3 linked regions of the Arabidopsis thaliana genome follow. The protein of the gene in region 1 interacts with the protein of each later gene in a pairwise test. Each region holds a gene or a part of one and is shown on either strand. Other genes may lie near its edges.

The links.
Region 2: the proteins of AT5G37740 (region 1) and PYL4 interact in a two-hybrid assay, tested with the Arabidopsis thaliana proteins (one study listed by BioGRID).
Region 3: the proteins of AT5G37740 (region 1) and PYL1 interact in a two-hybrid assay, tested with the Arabidopsis thaliana proteins (one study listed by BioGRID).

Annotation. Positions count from the first base shown.
Region 1 is NC_003076.8:14,990,265-14,994,077, reverse strand, and holds AT5G37740 (Calcium-dependent lipid-binding (CaLB domain) family protein), read right to left. Parts: upstream 2,030-3,813; 5' UTR 1,931-2,029; coding exon 1,820-1,930; intron 1,742-1,819; coding exon 1,712-1,741; intron 1,116-1,711; coding exon 1,020-1,115; intron 947-1,019; coding exon 647-946; 3' UTR 516-646; downstream 1-515. UniProt on the Arabidopsis thaliana protein: Stimulates the GTPase/ATPase activities of Obg-like ATPases. Mediates the transient calcium-dependent interaction of PYR/PYL/RCAR abscisic acid (ABA) receptors with the plasma membrane and thus regulates ABA sensitivity.
Region 2 is NC_003071.7:16,048,064-16,051,904, forward strand, and holds PYL4 (PYR1-like 4), read left to right. Parts: upstream 1-1,854; 5' UTR 1,855-2,187; coding exon 2,188-2,811; 3' UTR 2,812-3,293; downstream 3,294-3,841. UniProt on the Arabidopsis thaliana protein: Receptor for abscisic acid (ABA) required for ABA-mediated responses such as stomatal closure and germination inhibition. Inhibits the activity of group-A protein phosphatases type 2C (PP2Cs) when activated by ABA. Can be activated by both (-)-ABA and (+)-ABA.
Region 3 is NC_003076.8:18,982,916-18,986,538, reverse strand, and holds PYL1 (PYR1-like 1), read left to right. Parts: upstream 1-1,621; 5' UTR 1,622-1,810; coding exon 1,811-2,476; 3' UTR 2,477-2,999; downstream 3,000-3,623. UniProt on the Arabidopsis thaliana protein: Receptor for abscisic acid (ABA) required for ABA-mediated responses such as stomatal closure and germination inhibition. Inhibits the activity of group-A protein phosphatases type 2C (PP2Cs) when activated by ABA. Can be activated by both (-)-ABA and (+)-ABA.

The sequences.
Region 1 (3,813 bases):
AGTTAGACTCGGTCAAGCTAATTAAATCTGTACATAAACATTGTAGATGAAATTTGTTATGGAATAATGAAAACGTTGATCATTTCACCAATTCTTCATCAAGCTTTATTCCTCTGTTTTCCATCTATCTTTCTAAGAATCTGATGGACTCATGATCGGCAAATACAAGTTATGTTTTATGGTTTTGGTTTTATGAATTTAGCTTAACATGATATTACTAAATCTTGTTGAGATTAGGATTTACGATTTGGTGTTTATCTTCTTTTAAGGTTTTCTGATATATGTAACCATAAGCAGAAAAATAATAATTAATAGCTAAACAGACATTTGTGTCAATTGTTCCTAAGCTCATAATTGGAACTATCAGAATCCCTAATAGTTCACAAAGAAGAGGCGAAAGATCATTGAGTCTACACAATTCACGCTAATAAGACAGGATATTTATGTAGATATCCAAATGTTTACACTTACTCCTCATGGAATTGCAAACTTTTTGGAATCAAACAAGAGAAAAAAAAAACGAAATGAGTTTATTACACAAGCCAGTTTGAGATTCTTTCATTGACCAGTTTTAAACTGCACCATAGTTCTAGTTTCTAACCATATGCACAAGGGACTAATAAAGATCGGATCGATATGATTTGACCTAAATACCCCTTGAACCCGGGACATCGATCCACTCGAGCTGTAGCTCAACCTCTCCACACTCCACGTGCTGGAGTCTAAGGAACATATTCTGGACAATCTTGCCTTGGTTCAACACAATGTGGCTTGATTCAGACAAACAATTTTTTCTGCTCGGCTCTATCTTCTTTATTATGGTCCCATTAGGAAGTCCTGGTCCGAGCTGATGGGCAAATTTAATAGCTTCAATAAATGGACCAATGTGGAACTCGGCTTCTCCCATCTTGTCATCCGCGGAGAGCAAGTCATAGTCATAAACCGTCTGCATCATAATTCCCACCGCTTATCATTCTGGTTCAGCTATCATGCTACAATATAATGTAAGGATTACTTACAAGTTTAATCGGGAGATTCGGATCAGTCACGGAAAGTGTCAAGTCGTCGTTCCACTCGGGGTTTACACTATGTTTCACCACGCGTGTTTTCAACTTCTGTATCACAATCACAAACAAAAGATTCAAGAACTAGCAAATGCTTTTGATTGATCTTAAGGTAAGTCAAAAGGCGACAACACAAGTTACAAATATTTCGTGGTGGAACCAGAAGAGATTGATGTTGACATCAAAAAATCAATGGCTTTTCACCAATATTCCAATGTTCATAAAGATCTCATGTGCAAAGGACCCACTAATATGAAACGAAGCAAAAGTCTACTTCTTCATTTACATGTATGCAAATTATAAACTATATAACTCAAACTCTATTCAGAGAAGGTATTAACTGGTTATTAATTTGGATTAGGTTAAGACAACTCATAACTAGTACTATTCAGACATATACCAAATCAAAAGTCAGAGACTTCACATTTAGCTTGTAAAGATTAGGTATAACTAAATATGTGATGTCAACCCTCAAAAACTGCCTCCAATCCATTATTGATAACCAAATTTTTAATCAAATTTCTAGTTAGTTTTGAGATCTACAAAAAGAATCAATAATCCACTGTCAAATTATAAAAGACCTCATTGAGTTTCACTACATAGACTCATCAATAATCTTATCTCTTTTATAATAAAAGTTTTACTACCGACCAACAGTTCAATAAACGCATCAGATTCTACTAGATGCATAACCAGATTTATTCTAAGATGCAAAACAGAATTGGCTAAAATGGAAGAGAATAAATTTTTGGTACCTGTTTACCGCAGTGAACGACGATGTAAGGATCACTGCTTGAGATGTCTCTAATGGCGAGATTCACACCTCTTTTCACATGAATTCGAAGAAGACCTACAAGATTCTCCATTGTTTGTTTTTCTTTTTGTTTTTTTCTCTCGTAGAAAGTTTGTTGGAGTGGGTGTGATGATGAGAGACTTGGAGAATTCGGACAGCTCTGATGAGGTTTTGTGACTTTTGTCTATTTTCTTATATAGATACGGAACTGATTTTATCTTCTTTATTTTTCCGAGGATGGATATATTGTAGACTTTTCTGCCTCGAGCCACCTCTGTCTCTTTTTTACTTTAATTGTTTACCATTTCTAAAAAGACATGTAAAACAAAATAGATTATTGGAAAACAAGAAATTAAGTGAACAATACAAAAATAATAATAGAGGAACACAAAAAATACAAAACAAACGTTGAGAAACCGAAGAGATTCTAACTAATTTTAATAATTTTTCTAAATCATATGCTTCATCCTTTTTATTAAATTGTGGAGGTTGAAGATGTTGTACTATATTTTTCTAAAGTTACAAATTCTTACAATCATTTGTTTCTTTTTCTTTTAATTTAAAATATTGTATTGTCCAAATTTGTCTTACTCGTTTTTAGAGAGTGTTATGTTAATTCATTAGCTGGTTAATTTTTTTTTTAATAAGAATTCTGACCTACTTTGCCTCTTAAAAATTTATGATTTTTTATATGATATGTTTTTGTTTTGTTGTTTGGTGTTTTTTCCTCTTATTTATTATAATTGAGTTGAGAAAAAAAAAACTAGTACTTTTAGTTTTGGATTAGATGGCAATAGGTCGTGTAAAGGTTTTTAGGGAATTTAAATGTTAGTTTGAATTAGAAAACCAAATGTTAAAACTGTATTATCCGGGGGAGGTGACGGATTAGTCAATTTCTATGGGTATTTTACCGACTATTTAAATAATTTTTGTCGTATTCAATTGACCAATACACTCAATTATTCGTCTCGATGATGCAGCTAATTAGAAAGTTAGTATTTAATTACGCAATTAATTTTTAATTACGGGCACATGTCACGCCAAATTTGGATTTGACCAGCAAATTAGAGTTTGAAGACTTTAATTCTTTTTTCCTTAACTATAAACAAAGGTCTGGTACGTATTTGATTTCCATCACCATAACTATAAACAAAGGAGTATGATTTTGTTGCGCGAAAATTTATTTTTTCTAGCCTTCCAAAATTTTCATGCAACTAACCAAAAGTGGCAGTGTAAATTGGTAATAAATCAGTATAATTAGAAACAATCATTGACTAAAAAACTATACACAATATTACAATATATTATGGACCAAAAGTTATTGTATTTTATAAGATTTCCAAAATTTCATGCAACTAATAAAATTAGGATTAATTATAGAAAAACCATAATAAAGTATGGTCTATTATGAATTTAGCCATATTCTCGAGTGATTATAAAGACGGATATTTTTGTTTTTTCTAAAATATTAATTTGCCTTTATTATTTTTTCTTCTTTAAAATTTTAATTGGGTCTTGAGATATAATTTTGACGAAAATGACTTAAGATTTGCTCATGATTCACAATCATATACTTTTCAGTTATTGCATACATGATTGTTCTGAGTTCTTTAGACATTATCTTTTACGGTTAAGATGATTCGATCCGCATCTATAATTAGAGAATTTGGGTTCTATAACATCATCTCTTAGAGCTTAGATATCTTACATCAAAACTTGTTTAATTAGTTCTATTGGATTCATCGAAAAAGGTTGGTCGTATAAACGTTGTGTGAATCATCGAAGCATAAGGAAACGATATTGATGGAGTCGAAAATAATGATTTTGATGGAATGTAGAGTCGGTGTTAATAAACAAATTTGATTATCACGACGGAGAGAATTGCAGTCGATGGAGACGGTGAGGGTTGTTGGTCTCATGACGGAAAAAACGAATTGGATTATCATCAACAAATTT
Region 2 (3,841 bases), on another chromosome or scaffold:
TTTCTTCTTTACACTTAATTTCCATCTTCCTTCTGCTTCTACACGTCCACATGCAATTTTGCACCGAGAATCCTAATTTGTGTCCTTCATTTTAAAGGTTTAAAAAGCATGTTTATAAAAACATGGAACTGGATGGTTTGTGAGATATGCCATCAAATTAGACAAAAGGGTCCATTAAGCCTGTGAAAAAAAAAGAAAAAAAAAACTAAGAGACGATCATAAGAGTTAGGTGTGACCTGACAAGATTCTTGTACACCCGAACCCGACTTGTGAACTGTGAAGTCAACCTCTAATTAACAGTTATTTTTTATTCCTACAAATACGGATCCAACATTATTCTCAATTAGTTGAAGTAATGTCTGTCTATTTGCACATTTTCAAACCCATAATCAAACAAAAGTTACATATCCTGACCCGCTGACCATATTATACACTCATCTGTGTATATCTCAAATCTCACTTGCAGGTAATTCTCTCTAGTACTTTTATGTAGATATATAGATATTAGTAGAATGTTAGCAAGAAAAGATGTAAAACATATATATCAACTATATTAGAACCCGTCCTTTGTGCGAGTTTTTGATTTTTATGATAATTTTAAGTTAACAAAAACTGAATTAATTTTGCTTTATATATTAAGATGTGTGTGAAGCTCAATACACAATATTAATCTATTCTTATCAAAAAAATTTATATTCAAAATTTACAGCAATTATAAAGAACTAATAGCATTGTATTATGACTTATCATTAAGATGGGGTTTGTGTCCATGTCCGGAGTTGTTAAAGGTTTGAAAACCCAGAGTTATGAATGTAAAGAAACAAGACAGAATGCTTGAAAACAGAGCATCAAGTAAATGTTTTGTGTTTATATTATTATGCAGCTAAAATGGAACCGGTGACGGCATTCCAACTTGGCCAATGGATGTCTAGACTCGCTATATTCTTCAAGGCAGACGACACATTCTTCCCCAACCTCGAAATTGAATTCCTCGACGGCAACAAAAATATATCTTCGAACGTTTTGTTGTGTCTGATCAGCCAACTCCACATCTTTAGGTAAACTCTAATATCCTAGAGAATAATAGAAATCTATAATACTAGTTACAATGTAGAAGAAGAGACAACCTATAACGAAGCTAGATACTATAGCCAACGTAACCAAACCAAACAACAAAAGTATGTTGTGATAGACCAGTTTTTCTTTCCAAAATACGGCCCAATTAAAAGTTTGGTTCTAAAAACAATTTGGGCCTTAGTTTGTATAGTTTAAAATGTGTTTCTTAGTGAGGATTGGTTTTTCATGCCCTTTTGTTTGTGTGCTCCTTTTTTTGTATATTGAAGATCATATCAAAGCAAAAGCAATACAATACTTTTCATTCAAAAAGTTCCTCCTTCTGCTTGTTCATCAAATCTCTCAGGTAATTAAATATATGGTTGTACCACTTTTAGTTTTGTGGTATTCGGCTCTGATGTTGAATACTTCAAATATCTAGATTTGCATCTGATGCAATTGAAAACCTTTTTTTTTTTTGCAATTGAAAACTCATATATATAGTATGGCTAGATATATGCAATTGAAAACTCATATATCTAGCCATACTATGAAATAACAATTGAAGAACTTCTAAGTTGAAAGAATTCTCACTTTGTATGTTTTGATGAATTTGATCTTACATTCCAATCGTTCCAAATATCGAAACTCTTAAAGCGTATTCAATCAAACGAATCTCGTCCTAGATATACCTTGGTCATTTCAAGAAGAAGAGAAAAAAGTTATGGTCAAGAAACTAAAAGTCTAAACCCATATTATAATTCTAGTGTTGATATACGAGAATTATATATTGGTCACTTGCCCAATTAAAAATATCGTGTATAGAAAACAGTCAAGTCAACAACTATAGCAAGGGGCAAAACCGTAATTTCACAACAAGCAACTTGCTCGGTTTTTTCGTTATCACCACTCACATGAACTCTGCATTAAAAACTCTATCTCTCTCAAATCGAAAGGCACAGCCCAACTTTTCGCAAGTCGCTGTAAAGTTTGATTTGCTTCTTTTTATATACACACATACTTCTCCTCCATACACTTTCCTCTTCAATCCTCAGTTTTTTTTCTAAGCCCTAATACCATCTCAAAGAAGAGATCAAGATTTGAAATCAAGAAGACACCATTACTCAGATCAACATGCTTGCCGTTCACCGTCCTTCTTCCGCCGTATCAGACGGAGATTCCGTTCAGATTCCGATGATGATCGCGTCGTTTCAAAAACGTTTTCCTTCTCTCTCACGCGACTCCACGGCCGCTCGTTTTCACACACACGAGGTTGGTCCTAATCAGTGTTGCTCCGCCGTTATTCAAGAGATCTCCGCTCCAATCTCCACCGTTTGGTCCGTCGTACGCCGCTTTGATAACCCACAAGCTTACAAACACTTTCTCAAAAGCTGTAGCGTCATCGGCGGAGACGGCGATAACGTTGGTAGCCTCCGTCAAGTCCACGTCGTCTCTGGTCTCCCCGCCGCTAGCTCCACCGAGAGACTCGATATCCTCGACGACGAACGCCACGTCATCAGCTTCAGCGTTGTTGGTGGTGACCACCGGCTCTCTAACTACCGATCCGTAACGACCCTTCACCCTTCTCCGATCTCCGGGACCGTCGTTGTCGAGTCTTACGTCGTTGATGTTCCTCCAGGCAACACAAAGGAAGAGACTTGTGACTTCGTTGACGTTATCGTACGATGCAATCTTCAATCTCTTGCGAAAATAGCCGAGAATACTGCGGCTGAGAGCAAGAAGAAGATGTCTCTGTGATGAGTCTTTGTCGTTGTCGGGTAGTTTCGTTAGATCCGACGTCGTTTTCTAGATTTTTAGCCGTCGTGTGATCTATGTTTTTTCGGCTTATGTGTGAAAAAAAAGTTACATTAGTGAATTAATCTCTCATGCATATCATAATCCTTCTTTTAATTTTTGTATTTTACATATCCCATAAAGAACCGATTTGGATAGCCCTATTCCGGCTTTCACCACCCAAAGATAATAATATTCAAACTGAAAGAATGTGGTTGTGTTGTCCGCTAATTAAAAGTGTGATTTTCAAGTTTAATTAATCTTGTTTTTCTATAGTTTCATCAGAAAAAGCGTAAATGAAATGGTACAATATGATGTTCGACTCGGATGTATATTAACTCGTTACATTGAGTTGTTGGCCATCTAATGTGTGTAGATAAATTTACGTACGTATAAACAGCTTTTGTGAAATTCGACGATTTTTCTTAAAGGCAACTTTAAATTTGGGCATAATATAATGTGTTCCTTTCCTCTATGATTTAACTAGGTCCTCAAACTTTTTACTTTCTTATTATTTCATAATAATTAAAATAACCGATTGAGCGTGAAGTTGTTATTTAAAAATCAAACATTTGATAGAGAATTCAAGATTTGAAGTTTTTATTTGTCATCATAAACTATTTGGTAGAAAATAGGGAGTAGTTGGGGATTTTCAGGCTTAAAGGTAATTGCGTAAAATGGACAAAACATACATGTATACAAAAATATGAACATGGCCGTCAAAATATAAAAAATAAAAAACGAACATGTTGATGAATTTAAAGAAATAAAAATTTGCAAGTGGACGATGCTTTGAATGATAACCCAACAAGCCAAGCTGTTCTCTTCTTCTTTTTTTTTCCCGCTTGATATAAAGAAAATGCAAGTTGCAATTTTTTTTATCTTTTACTTCCTTTCTTTATGGTTCTTCCCAATCCAAAAGATATAATATTAAATTTCGTATAATAATAAAGAAATATGGAATAGAGAGAAGCGCAAGTTGCATGTCCTTTTA
Region 3 (3,623 bases), 4.0 Mb from region 1:
TATATTCCACTACTCTTTTTTTTTTTAATCAATGTACATTCCATTATAACATGGTGAGTGGATTCTTGAAAATATTATATTTGAAAATTCTTTCAAGCCTTTTAGAATAAAAAAATTCGCAATGATCAGAATCAATATTATTCCACCAAATGGACTTTTTGATACTTTTATTATCTCTATAATGCTAAAGAATATATATAGCAATCTATCTATTCATAAATATATTAATTATTTTCTAACTTTAACTTTAGGAAAATTTAATCATACCAGTTTGAGAGCACTATTGTCCTTTTCATTTAAAATTTTGAAAAAATTAATTTAGCGTAATGATAAAATTTTATAGAAAAATCGTTTAGGTATAGTGTTTAGCAATATAATTTTACACTCTGGATATTTAACTAAATCATTGTTATAATCATCAAATTTGATATACAAGTGCAATGTGCAAGTATATACTTGACATAAAAATTAAATGTCTACAAGACGCCAAAAAAAACAGCTGGAGACTACTTTTTATGATTTATAACTTGTACCTACCGTATCTCTTGGATTCTACTTCTTACGTACCCAATTATATCTTTGTAACAAAAAATAAACTATTTACTGTAATGATTTTTTATATTTTTTTTTGGACAAAAGTATAATGATTTATAGGCTGTGAATGGTGACCAAAACCGCACTTAAAACCGTATCGCAACAGTGCTGATTTTCATTACTATTTGAACCGCACCGCACTTTTTGCGTACCGCAAAACGCAGTCACCATTCACAGCCATAATATTAAAAATAATTTTAATAGAAAAAACAAAAGTCAAGGTGATAAGAGAAAAAAGTAATTTGCCCATTTCGGTTGCAGATAAATAAACATGGCCAAAACTAGTAAGTATATGACACGGAGGCTTCATGCTCAGTTGCTCACATTTAATTATCACTTGATAAAAATTCTCTAGTACAAGTAAAATGTTTTAATCTTTACAAGTATATTTTTTTTATGTAACTGAAAATTGTTTTAATCTTTACAATTATTTAGTTTCGAGAGAAATTGGGAGTTATAGATTAAGATAAGTAATATAGGTATAGGCTTATAATAGCTTCACGAACAAAGGCTAATGGCTAACCTTTAAATGCATTCGAATAAATAATGATTCTATATTTGAGCATCTAATCAAAATTTCTACGGTTGCCAACAAAAAAATAATTCAACTCCCGTAAATAATTTTTTATTTTATAATTTAATTGCATTTCTATTACGAGTTGACCAATTTCATTTGTAATATATTTACCAAAGTGATGATTAATATAAAATAGTAGGAATTCATGAAGAATATGATAAAATGAGTTATTCTAATTTTAACTATATAGTTTAACTCGTTCAAGATATTTTTAATTAGTATCATATATATATAATTTTAACTATATAGTTTATACATTTCAATCAGAATATAGATGGATGAATAATATGATAAGTCTAACTAAACTGTGTGTTATTGTTCATTAAATTAAATCAGATTTTTCGAATTCAGCAAAATAATTCCATCTATTATAATGAACGGATATATATTTTTTTTGTAGTATTATTTTAGAATCTACAAAAATATTACGTAAATTTGTAATAGTTACTAATTTTGATGTACGTGTCTACAAATATAGTAATTATCAACTAAAAGTAGAAAGATTCAGTGCCTAATGACATTTATGTGATAGCCATTAAAAAAAACTCAAGTCTATTAAATTCCAAATATACCCTTCTTCTCTTTCTTCTTCCTTCAAATTTTCAACTTCTCTCTTTCAAGTTTCAACAAACAATATCAATGGCGAATTCAGAGTCCTCCTCCTCACCAGTAAACGAAGAAGAGAACAGCCAGAGAATCTCAACACTCCATCACCAAACCATGCCTTCCGATTTAACTCAAGACGAATTCACCCAACTCTCCCAATCAATCGCCGAGTTCCACACGTACCAACTCGGTAACGGCCGTTGCTCATCTCTCCTAGCTCAGCGAATCCACGCGCCGCCGGAAACAGTATGGTCCGTGGTGAGACGTTTCGATAGGCCACAGATTTACAAACACTTCATCAAAAGCTGTAACGTGAGTGAAGATTTCGAGATGCGAGTGGGATGCACGCGCGACGTGAACGTGATAAGTGGATTACCGGCGAATACGTCTCGAGAGAGATTAGATCTGTTGGACGATGATCGGAGAGTGACTGGGTTTAGTATAACCGGTGGTGAACATAGGCTGAGGAATTATAAATCGGTTACGACGGTTCATAGATTTGAGAAAGAAGAAGAAGAAGAAAGGATCTGGACCGTTGTTTTGGAATCTTATGTTGTTGATGTACCGGAAGGTAATTCGGAGGAAGATACGAGATTGTTTGCTGATACGGTTATTAGATTGAATCTTCAGAAACTTGCTTCGATCACTGAAGCTATGAACCGGAACAACAACAACAACAACTCTTCTCAGGTTAGGTAATGATGAAATTTGGGGGAAAGAAAAATGTTTCTAAATTGGGGGAGTTTTAATTTTTATTTTGATTTGTAAAACGTTTTTTTTCTTCTCTTGAATTGTAATTTCCTTGTTTGATTTTATGGTTATGTTTTATTTTTTAAAAAAAATCAGTCTCCTGGATAATTGGAATGGTCGAGATAGGTTAAATTTAATAACATACTTGTTATATCATAGAATTAGGAATGATAACATACTAATTATAGTAGTTCGTTTATTCAATTGGTTGACAAGATAAATTATACAGGAATGATAACATACTAATTATAGTAGTTAGTTTTCTTTAACTGTTGTGTAGATTGTACTATTTTGTAGGTTATTAGTATTCTTGTTTTATTCAATTTTTGTATTTGAAATGATATATGCATGGAATAGATTTCTAGGTCAGATGGAAAAATAATGATATTTTTTTTGTTCTTCGATACATATTTATTTATAGCGTATGTTTTAATATAGTGTTGTGTGTAGTAACTTTTCATAATAAAACGAATAAAAGCTTAATGTCTGAAAATTGGCAGTATTTATAAGTCAATTTTGGCAATTCGTAAATTCGCAAAATTATTTGTTTTCTAGCGTTAATGACAAAAAAAAAAACCTAAAAAAAAAAACCGTTGCATTAGTTTTTTTTTTGTTCAATAATTTTTTTTATTTTTTTATTTACAATTTCGTTGTAAAATTTAATTTTTGTATTTTTGTGCTAATTTTGCTTAAGTTTTCGCGCTCCAGTAACATTATTACGTTCAAAAACTAATTACTGTTGAAGGGGAAAGGGCTTTGAACGACGAAAAAGCCCATTATAATTTGAACTCTTTTATTTTTCATTTTAAAATTTGGAGAGAGCTCACCATTTTTTACATCTAATTATGATCCTCCTTTTTTTTTCTTTTTTTTTTTGTCAATACACCTAATTATAATTATGTTATGGTCATCGCTTTGTCTGATGAGCCTGAGTGGCTAAGTGCCTGACCAACAAAAATAAACTGTACTCGATTTCTTTTTCCCGATTATTAGAGACTCCAGAATTGGATGATCCATCTTTTTTTTTTTTGATCAAAAAGATTGGATGATCCATCATGAGACAACACTGAAATACTTTTGTTACATAAAATCTATT